Drosophila melanogaster: one gene and its partner. The protein of the gene in region 1 purifies or fractionates together with the protein of each later gene. This does not show direct contact. Each region holds a gene or a part of one and is shown in the gene's direction. Other genes may lie near its edges.

Region 1 (4,628 bases):
TTCCTCTTCTTCTGACCGCAATGGTATTCAAGTTTGGAACAACAACAATGTGCAAGTTCAAAGTCAGAAAATGACAAATAACCGAAAGGCACACAAAAAACAATCCTAAACATGTTTGCTTGCATGCCGAGACACGCACATACATCAATATTCATGTATAAACAAGCTTACAGTGTAGGAAATATAAAAAATTACAAAACTAGAACTGTGATTACCCACACACATGCACAACAAGATCTGCCTACTACCTTAAATTTACTCGCTGCGATATGTGTAGCACATGAGCACACAACATATATGTTTTATAGCACTTTTAGGCGCTTTTTATTCGTTTATGCGTAAATAGAAAACGTGAACGACGTGACCAAGTGTGACCGTTGCTTATTTTCGTCGCAAATCTCGCGTGTGGTCAATTTGAACCGTTGTCAGAAACTATAGGGTCTCGAAACATGTGCAAATAATTCATTTATATCATTCAACTTATGCTGCAAATAATTGCTATTATTATTATTTTAATTAATTATCCACACTGCTTATGTTCTTCGCTCAAACAGGAGGTAATTAAATCATTGAAGGGATTTCAAAAATCTATGTATGCATTCACTACTAACTAGCTTGGTCTTTTTTTTATTTTGCGCCGCTTTATAAATTTAAAAAAATATCATTTGGAATTACACACATCACTGTGTTAAATTAAAAAGAAGATTTTTAGTGATTGTTTTCTTTGAGATATTGAAGTCGCTATCTGCTCCTATATAAATATTATTTCGAAATTATCGATTTATAGTGCGCTATACTGACAAAAAATAGGCTGAAATTCGCATGAACAAGCATATTGTGGTAAGACAAAATGAAATCAGAACTTCCCAAGAACTACGTTGGAAAATTACAAATGCCCAAAAGTATTGCTCCACAAAATATCGTAACGAAATATCGCGAAATTTGCAACACTTTTGTGCACATTCGGTGGCAACGCCGCCTAAGAAAATACCTATTGCCCCAATCGATACCTATCGATGAGCGTGGGCAGCCCTGTTTGTGCATGTGCTGCCATTCGATTTGATAACCAGCACTCCGTGCACACGTTTTTCGGCTTTCTAGAAATAATTGGGCTGCGATTCAAACTGTGAAGTGATTTTTTCTATATTTTTTTTTTGTGTGCACAAAGGCTCTTGTAATTCGAGGATTTGGCCATCGCGAGTGCGGGTGATTAAGCAGGCAGCTCCGATTGCCAGAGTTTTGCGGATGCATGGCAACACTGCCGCACGCCGGCCATGTTATTGTGATTTGTAAAAGGTGGAACGTAGACACGTGTTTAATTCGTGCAGCACTTTAGCGTTGAGAAAACGACAGTAAATCGCCAGCAAATAAGCAAAAACAATACACAACTCGCGTGTGCAGTAGATAGCTTTGAAAGCACCCAAAGATAGTGAGCAAAATAAGTTACCCAAGCGGTTCACAAAGGTAAGAAATCGCAGCACGCGGAACATAACCTAGTACAAAAAAAGTGCGTGTGTGTGTTTGCCAAAACAGAGAGATGTGACGGAAAATGGTGTCATGTTCTGTTCTGTGTGGATTTGTTCCAATGTCCGTGTCTTGAGCTCTATTCGCACCTCTTTCCCGGTACCATAGCCAACGTTTTAACTACCTTTTTTTTGTCAACTTTTTGTTAAGTGTATGACTCTGCCTTGCCGCTGTTGTTGTTGTTCCGGCAAAGTGACAGTAAGTGGTTATGGAAAAAATTTGGAGTTCAATTCGGCGATTACACAATGACAGCACTCACACACACACACACCCACAATCGCACGCATACACATGCCGAGCATAAGTGCGTCTGTGTGTGTTACAGCTTTCACCGTTAATGTTCGGTTTTTTTACGCCTGAAAGAGAACAAAGGCGAAAAGGAGCTGCCACTCCCACAAAGAAAACATTGCGTCTATGCATACATACATATGTATACACATATAAAGTAGTATATCCCCCGATTATACAATCCCCGCCCATTTTTGGCCACCATATGATCGGAAACCACGTTGCCAAGATTATAACAATGTGGACTTTTTCGGCTAGCTGGCAATGTTGTTGCACCTGATTTGTTGTTGTTTTGGTGCTCTCTTCTGGCTTGCCTCTCTGTGTCGCTCATTCTCGCTTGTTCGGGGGAATTTCAAATTTTTAGGCTGTTGCTTCACCTCCCCGTTCGACGGCTTCCTCTTCTTTTGGCCGCACTGGTATTCGAGTTTGGAGCAACAACAATGTGCAAGTTCAAAGTCAGAAAATAACAAATAACCGAAAGGCACACAAAAAACATGCCTAAACATGTTTGTTTGCATGCCGAGACACGCAGACACATCAATATTCATGTATAAACAAGCTTACAGTGTAGGAAATACAAAAAAAAAATAACAAAAACTAGAAGACCATTGCGAAGTTGTTGTGCCCTTATCTTACATTTTGTCGTTTTAATTCAAGAGTTGATACGAATACGTGTAAAACTACACTTCTCCCTGCTCTTATGCATATCCATTTATTAAGAATTTTAGGCAAAATGTGGCAAGCTTTGTCAACAAGTTTTAATACTCTAAGCAAAGGGTATAAAACGTAATCTGAAAAATTCCCGTCACCCGGTTTCGACGATTAGGAAATGCCACAGCTGTCTGGCCAGTTGCCCTTCCATGGCCATTTTATAGCACCCCACTAGGCCCCTTATCCCCCACCCCCTGCATGCTCCCATCAACCGTTGATCTGTCGCTATATGTACATTTATACATATACATATGCATATACATATACATATGTACATACATACAATGTATGTTTGTGTTTCAGTTGCTTGTCGATTGAGCTTATCATCTGACCACTGTGTAACAGGAGGACCTTTGGGCCCTAACAAAGTGACGATATTGTGGATGGGGGGAAGCGGGAGTATAGTGGGTAAATCGGTTCTATAGTGAGTAACTTAAAAGTACTAAAGATCTCATGGCTTTAAACTACTGTTCGGCATGACTTGCACTTTTCGGGCCCCGGAAATTTTGACCAAATTCGAAGGAGCGTCTTACAATCCATTTGAATGGATTTTGATTAACGGTTTTCGGATTTCTTTGTTCTAATGAGCTCGCCACTCTCTTTTCTTCTCTCCGGCTTTCTGTCTCGTTTCCGCTTGGTGGGATGAGTGTGTGTGTGGGTGGAAAGGGGCGCTAAATAAAAACTTGCCACCACGCATCCTCTCTTTTTTCGCGGGTTGGTGGGGGTATGCCGATGCGGAAGAGCGGATGGAGTGAAGAGCGGAGAATCGGTGCCGAAATAAAAAAAATAATACAAATAAAAAGCCAGAGGAATTGGCAATTAGAAGGCGTGCAAAGTAGTTTCCCTTCATATATCGAGCAGTCGATATCTCGAATCTCTCGAACAATTTCGCCGGCATATCGAAACCCAACAAAAAAAGAAAGAAAATAAACAAAAGCATAGAAGAAACTCCAAAAAATAAGCCGAAGCGAATTGATGCCATAAAACGACATAAAATACAAACGAAACCGGAAGAAGCAACGAATTCAGTTTTATCCTAGTGGTAATACAAAAACACACATTTATTTTGTGAATAGGTGATGAATTTCTGGCAAAGCTGTTGTTTTCGTAACTTTTAGTTTTGTTTTGTAATGATTTCGTAACATTTGCCATTGCCATACGTAAACGTAACGGTTTCTTCTTGCGCCTCTCTTCCGTTCTTCGCCGACGCTCTTTTGCGTTCTTGCGCACGCGCTCTTTGCATGCGATCTATCGCTCCATCTCTCTCGCTCTCTCCCGTTGCGTTTTTCCCTTCCGCGTGGCATTCAAAAATCGCTTTGCACCTTTTTCGTCGTTCTCTCTCGTTGTCTCTCTCTCTCTCGGCATTTGTGTTGTTGTCTATATTTACGTATTTATTTGTTGCTATTAATACGCAAAAGTTCAGAAAGGAAAAAACCAAAATCAAACACACTGGCAAACACACACACACACACGCACACTTATGCAGACGAGCACATGCAGGCGGGTCTCGTGACTTGCAAAACCAATTCGAAACCTTTAAATAGGTTTTTTCAAATATAACAACATGCATATGTCGTTATTTAAAAAACAACGTTCATGTGGATGGTGTTGACAAATTAGCCCTTTAATCTCACACTTTTCTTCAAAATTGATTTCATATTTGAAATTCTCGCTTAAATTTAAACGCAAATTCAAAGCTCTTTACTTTGTTTTCAAAGTTATTCTACACAAAATTGCATATTGTGTACCGTTTCTTATCTTGAGCCATGACAAGCTTTTTAAAGTAATTATATACGACGCTACTTGATTTGTAAATTGTTGCCCTGATAAGAGGTGTTCACACATTATTTCCAATTGTAAATTAAACAACAAACCATAACTTTTCCAAATATTGCACAAACAAAAGCTACTTCATTTTTATTTCAGTATTAGTGTGATCAAAATAATCCTATTTGTGTGACAGTACACAAGTATATTTTCAAATCGCACAGACTAATATAACTTCTTCTCCCTTTCAGATCTTTCAATATTCAGCGAAAATGGTATCCGGTCGTCCTCTACTCTACCTCTCACTGCCCGGTGTAGCATTTATACTCGGCGTCTTT
Region 2 (4,764 bases), on another chromosome or scaffold:
TTACCAACACGGTGGGCAGCAGCATCTGCCGCGAGTCGCACTGTGGCGTCCACATCAACGCTGGACCCGAGATCGGAGTGGCCTCCACGAAGGCCTACACCTCCCAGTTCATTTCGCTGGTTATGTTCGCCTTGGTCATGTCGGAGGATCGTCTCTCGCTGCAACAGCGCCGCTTGGAGATCATCGATGGCCTATCGCAGCTGGACGAGCACATTAGGACTGTCCTCAAGCTGAACTCGCAGGTGCAGCAGCTTGCCAAGGAGTTGTACGAGCACAAGTCGCTGCTCATTATGGGCAGGGGCTTCAACTTCGCCACCTGTTTGGAGGGCGCACTGGTAATCCATTTGATAATTTGAGCTATAATTTAATCGAATCTCATTTATGCATCGTAATGCATGCATGGGAACGTAATGATGGAAAATAACCGATGTCAACAATTCACTTAACTTGTTTATTTGCCAAGTGCACTTAAATTAATTATTATGTTTGTCCCACGCTTCATGAGCTGAATTTAATCAATTAACTTGCTCATTGCAGAAAGTCAAGGAGCTGACGTACATGCACAGCGAAGGAATCCTGGCTGGAGAACTGAAACACGGACCACTGGCCCTGGTGGACAAGGAGATGCCCGTGCTGATGATCGTGCTGCGGGATCCGGTGTACACCAAGTGCATGAATGCACTGCAGCAGGTGACGTCCCGCAAGGGCAGACCGATCCTAATCTGCGAGGAGGGCGACAACGAGACCATGTCCTTCTCCACGCGTTCGCTGCAGATCCCGAGGACCGTGGACTGCCTGCAGGGCGTGCTCACGGTGATTCCGCTCCAGCTGCTGTCCTACCACATCGCCGTGCTCCGCGGCTGCGACGTGGACTGCCCCAGGAACCTGGCCAAGTCGGTGACCGTGGAGTAGGCGCCCCAACTATCTGGCTAACTGGCTCGCACCGTCTCAAGAATTCCATTTTAGTATCTGCCTGAGAAAAACAAAACAAACCCTAGCACTTAAGTTAAAATTTTCTGGTATTTTGTCGGATCAAAATCCGAACCCTTAACCCATTTGTGCTCCTTCTGGCTGAAGCCACATATGTTTAACCCCTACATTTGTAGCTGTACTGACCCTTTGTGTTGTGGACCCACTACTTTTTGTGAATGTGCAATTGAAATATAATTATTTCCAGTTTTTCTTTAAAAGTGTTTTGCTGCTTTCAATTAAAAATGGATTGGAAAATGTTTAACCAGTAAATTTGTTTGAAAACGGGAAAAACCAAACAAAGATCTATATGTACCTCACTTTACAAAAAATGCTTATCTGACATTAAACATTTGTTTCAAATGTTTAAAAAACGAGGGCCACGTCACGTTATTGCTTACGTTATGTTAATCACGTTGTAAATTTTAGAAAAAGAAAAATTACATATATATTTAATTCTGATAAAACTAAATAAAAATAAATTCTGATAAAAATAAATGATATTCCGAGCACTTAAGTAGTGTGAAATCGATAAGCCGCATAAATTTGAATGTCCTATTTTCAATTTCAAATCAAGTGGTAAATGGGGAAAAAATAAGTTTGTTCTCGAAAAGTAATTCTTTCTGGAAGATATTTCAAAATCATATTTAAAAACAACATTAAATAAATTAAATCAGTTGCGAGCCGGTTGGGACATCTCTATTAACCGTAGCTATCACATCGGTCGATATCTATCGCAACGCAACGCAAACGAATTGAACAACAACCCTGCTCTTTTTCTTTTGGACCCGTAGAACCACATGTCTGGTAACCGATTTTGATTTTCGTTTCGGCGGTATAATGCTCCAATTAATTGACTAATTGCGGTTAATTGACAAGACAAGTGAACGGCGCAAGTACGGTGCAACCAATAACGCAGCGAGTGTGTGTGCAATTGCGAAAAAACCCGATAAATAATATTCGTAACGTTCTGCCCAGCAGCGCGTGAGTGAGTGCGAGCGAGAGGCAGTGATTCGAGGTGCGTAGTGGTGCGAAAGTGTGTGTGCAAGGAAACCCGCAAAAGCAAAAGCAAAGCAACAATAACAACACACGCACGCACACACACACTTGTGTACGTGTTAACACGCGGAGCGGAAAGTGCGTAGTGAACATACGAAACGTACGAAACAAGAAGTGGGAGAGATAGCGGAATAAAATACAATTCTTGTTTCCATTTCAATCTCCTCTGGTGCGTATTCAAATCAATCTGAACCTTAACTTGTGTATGTGTGTGTGACCGCGTGCATCGTTTTGAAATTCGAGGCGAGCTGCAGTCGAAATCAGCTGTTTTAAAAGGCCCGACCAGGGCGGCACTAACAGCAATGCAGGCCGTTAGCCGAGTGCATTGGATATTGCATAATATTGGGTGAAGCGAAAACAGGGATATTGTGGTAGGCCACAGGGTATAATAAAACCAAATTGTAGCTATAAACGCAGTTTCTTTTATTTGCACCTTTAATTCGCTTCGATTTCCTGTCGTATTACCGGTTACGTTCAACGCCATGCCATTACGTTGTACTCCAGTTTGGCAAGTGGGCAGCTCGCTTTGCGGCAGCCCTGGTCGCTTAGCGTTGTGTTGCTGCTTCCTCTTCCTCTTGTGTGGGGCAAAAATCTAACCTCACTTCTTCTTCTTCTTTGGAACACTGCTGTGTGTGGCTGCTGCATAATAATATAATACCTCTCGATTCACGATTGGTCGTGCCTCGCAACGGATTTTCTCCGCTCGCCCAAACTGCAGTATATAATCGTGCAAAATCCGTGGCAGTAAATTCAATTCGCCGAGGAGCGTGACAGCTGAGGAAAATCGAGAAAACGGCCGCTGGGAGAGGCTTTTCCGATGGCCAGTTCCTAAAAAATCACCGCACTCCTCGGGAGGCTCTTCTGCAGTCCCACAAGAATAGTAATCCCCATTGCGAAAGCCCCAAGTTCAAAGTGCAGTGTATGTGCGTATGTGTGTGTGCTGTAATAGTTGCATTAAGTAAAGATGTAAATATTATTGCAGAAGGGCGAACTTGAGATTAATCGCCGTAATTGAGCAACAAACACCTCGCGTTCGCCCAACTCGCAATCTTGTTGGAAAATCCTAGTAGGCACAGTAAAGCTGGGCTTAGATGGCCATTCTTTAGTTTTAGTAAAGAGGTTTTAGTTTCCATTCCACTCTTTCTTTGCATTGGTATCAGTTTAATTTCAAAAGTCTATTTTTCTACGGCCAATAAGGCCATTAAAACTCGAGATGTTGACTTGAATTTATTAGCTCACTTAAAAGTTTAAGTTAATGCAAATTACTATACAAATTGCATTAGTATTGACCGCAGAATTGCCCTGAATAGTTCTATATGTAAATGACCCAAAACAGTCAAGCTTAGCTATAGTAACACTGCGTGGAAAAGTTATAAAATGACGTAATTGTAGTCTTTGGCCTGGATTTTCCTCTTGTTCCTACCAAACAGGCCTGTGAAAACTAATCCTTCTATTGCCAACCATTTCAGTTTGGAAGCCTATCTCTGGAGCCACCACATCCCGTTGAGCAGGCAAGGAAGCAGACAAGAGTTTCCCCAACCCGACAACGAGGATCAGCCGCTGACGTAGCCGGAGCAGGAGCAGCGAGTGTGCTGCCCACTCTGGAGAGGAAACCGGAGTCAAAGAAACAGCAGGAGTAGCAGCCGCAACTGAGGAGCATGTCCAGCAAGGAGGAGACGCCATCCACGGGAGGTGCCGCTCCTGTGGCCACTGTCGCCGCCTCGGGCAGCGCCACCACTTCCTACGCCAATGTGGTGCAGAACCTGGAGACCAAGAAGTCCGGCACCAGCAACACCACCACCACCACCGCCAGAGCCACCGTGGACAACAAAGAGAACCAGCCCAATCTGAAGAGCTTCAAGTCGTGGAGCGAGGAAGCCGCTGCCGCCGAGGCAGCCGGCGAATCGCCAATCGTCGGCAGCGTTAGCCTAGCCCAGACGGGTGAGAAGCGTGCCGCTGCCTCCGGTGGAGATAACACCGCCGAGAACTCATCGGAATTGGACGACAACAACGACTTCGTGCCGGTACTATCGCATCACCGCCGCGATCGCAAAAAGGCGCGCAAAGAGAAGCCGCGCGATCAGCAGCCGGCCGGAGGACGTGGCGATGGTCAGAAACCCCAGCAGGCTGGTGGCCGCCGCGTCCCCGGATCCTCCGACACCGAACGCAAGTCAGTGCGCCCACGTGCGCCGCGCGGCGGTAGTCCCCGCAAATCGGCAGCTGGAGCTGCTGGCGCAGCCGGATCCAATGCTGGAGCTGTGTCCTCCGCCGTTCCTGGTGGACCGAAAGTACACAAGGATCGCAAGGATACCTCGCCCAGTGCCAGCATCGAGGGAGCCGGCAGCAGCGGCAACGAGGCCAAGTCCGCCGACGGGGATCAGCAGGCGGGCGAGAAAGGCGCCGCTGGAGCAGCTCCGCCGCCCAAGCGATTCATTGCCGCCCCACCGCCCAAGGTCAACGCATGGAAGGTGAGTGATCAAATGATTGAATCTTTAAGTGATTGATTGTATTTTGGGGTATCTTGAATGGTAGGTTCATTAGGATAGGTTTTCATTAGAGTTGTTCAGGCATTGATTGGTATTCTTTGGATATTCCTAATTGGAAATCTTAATATATTCAAAAATCCAGAAGATTTAGAAGTGCACCGGAATAGAATTAGGTACATTTGCATTGACAAAAATTAGTTACTCGAACAAAACATTGGAAAATGCAAATGAAAAGCTTTGCTAAAATATA

Evidence for each region. The genes of interacting proteins can lie anywhere in the genome.
Region 2: the proteins of spoon (region 1) and larp purify together in Drosophila melanogaster (affinity purification with western blotting; one study listed by BioGRID). This does not show direct contact.

The regions. Positions count from the first base shown.
Region 1 is NC_004354.4:5,417,288-5,421,915, reverse strand, and holds the start of spoon (spoonbill), read left to right. Parts: upstream 1-1,579; 5' UTR 1,580-1,677; coding exon 1,678-1,722; intron 1,723-2,819; exon of another isoform or gene 2,820-3,599; intron 3,600-4,541; coding exon 4,542-4,628.
Region 2 is NT_033777.3:28,333,441-28,338,204, reverse strand, and holds the start of larp (La related protein), read left to right. Parts: upstream 1-1,764; 5' UTR 1,765-2,197; intron 2,198-2,663; exon of another isoform or gene 2,664-2,951; intron 2,952-3,497; 5' UTR 3,498-3,686; coding exon 3,687-4,496; intron 4,497-4,764. Other genes in the region: Gfat2 (Glutamine:fructose-6-phosphate aminotransferase 2), read left to right, coding at 1-335, 538-912. UniProt on the Drosophila melanogaster protein: RNA-binding protein that regulates the translation of specific target mRNA species downstream of the mTORC1 complex, in function of growth signals and nutrient availability.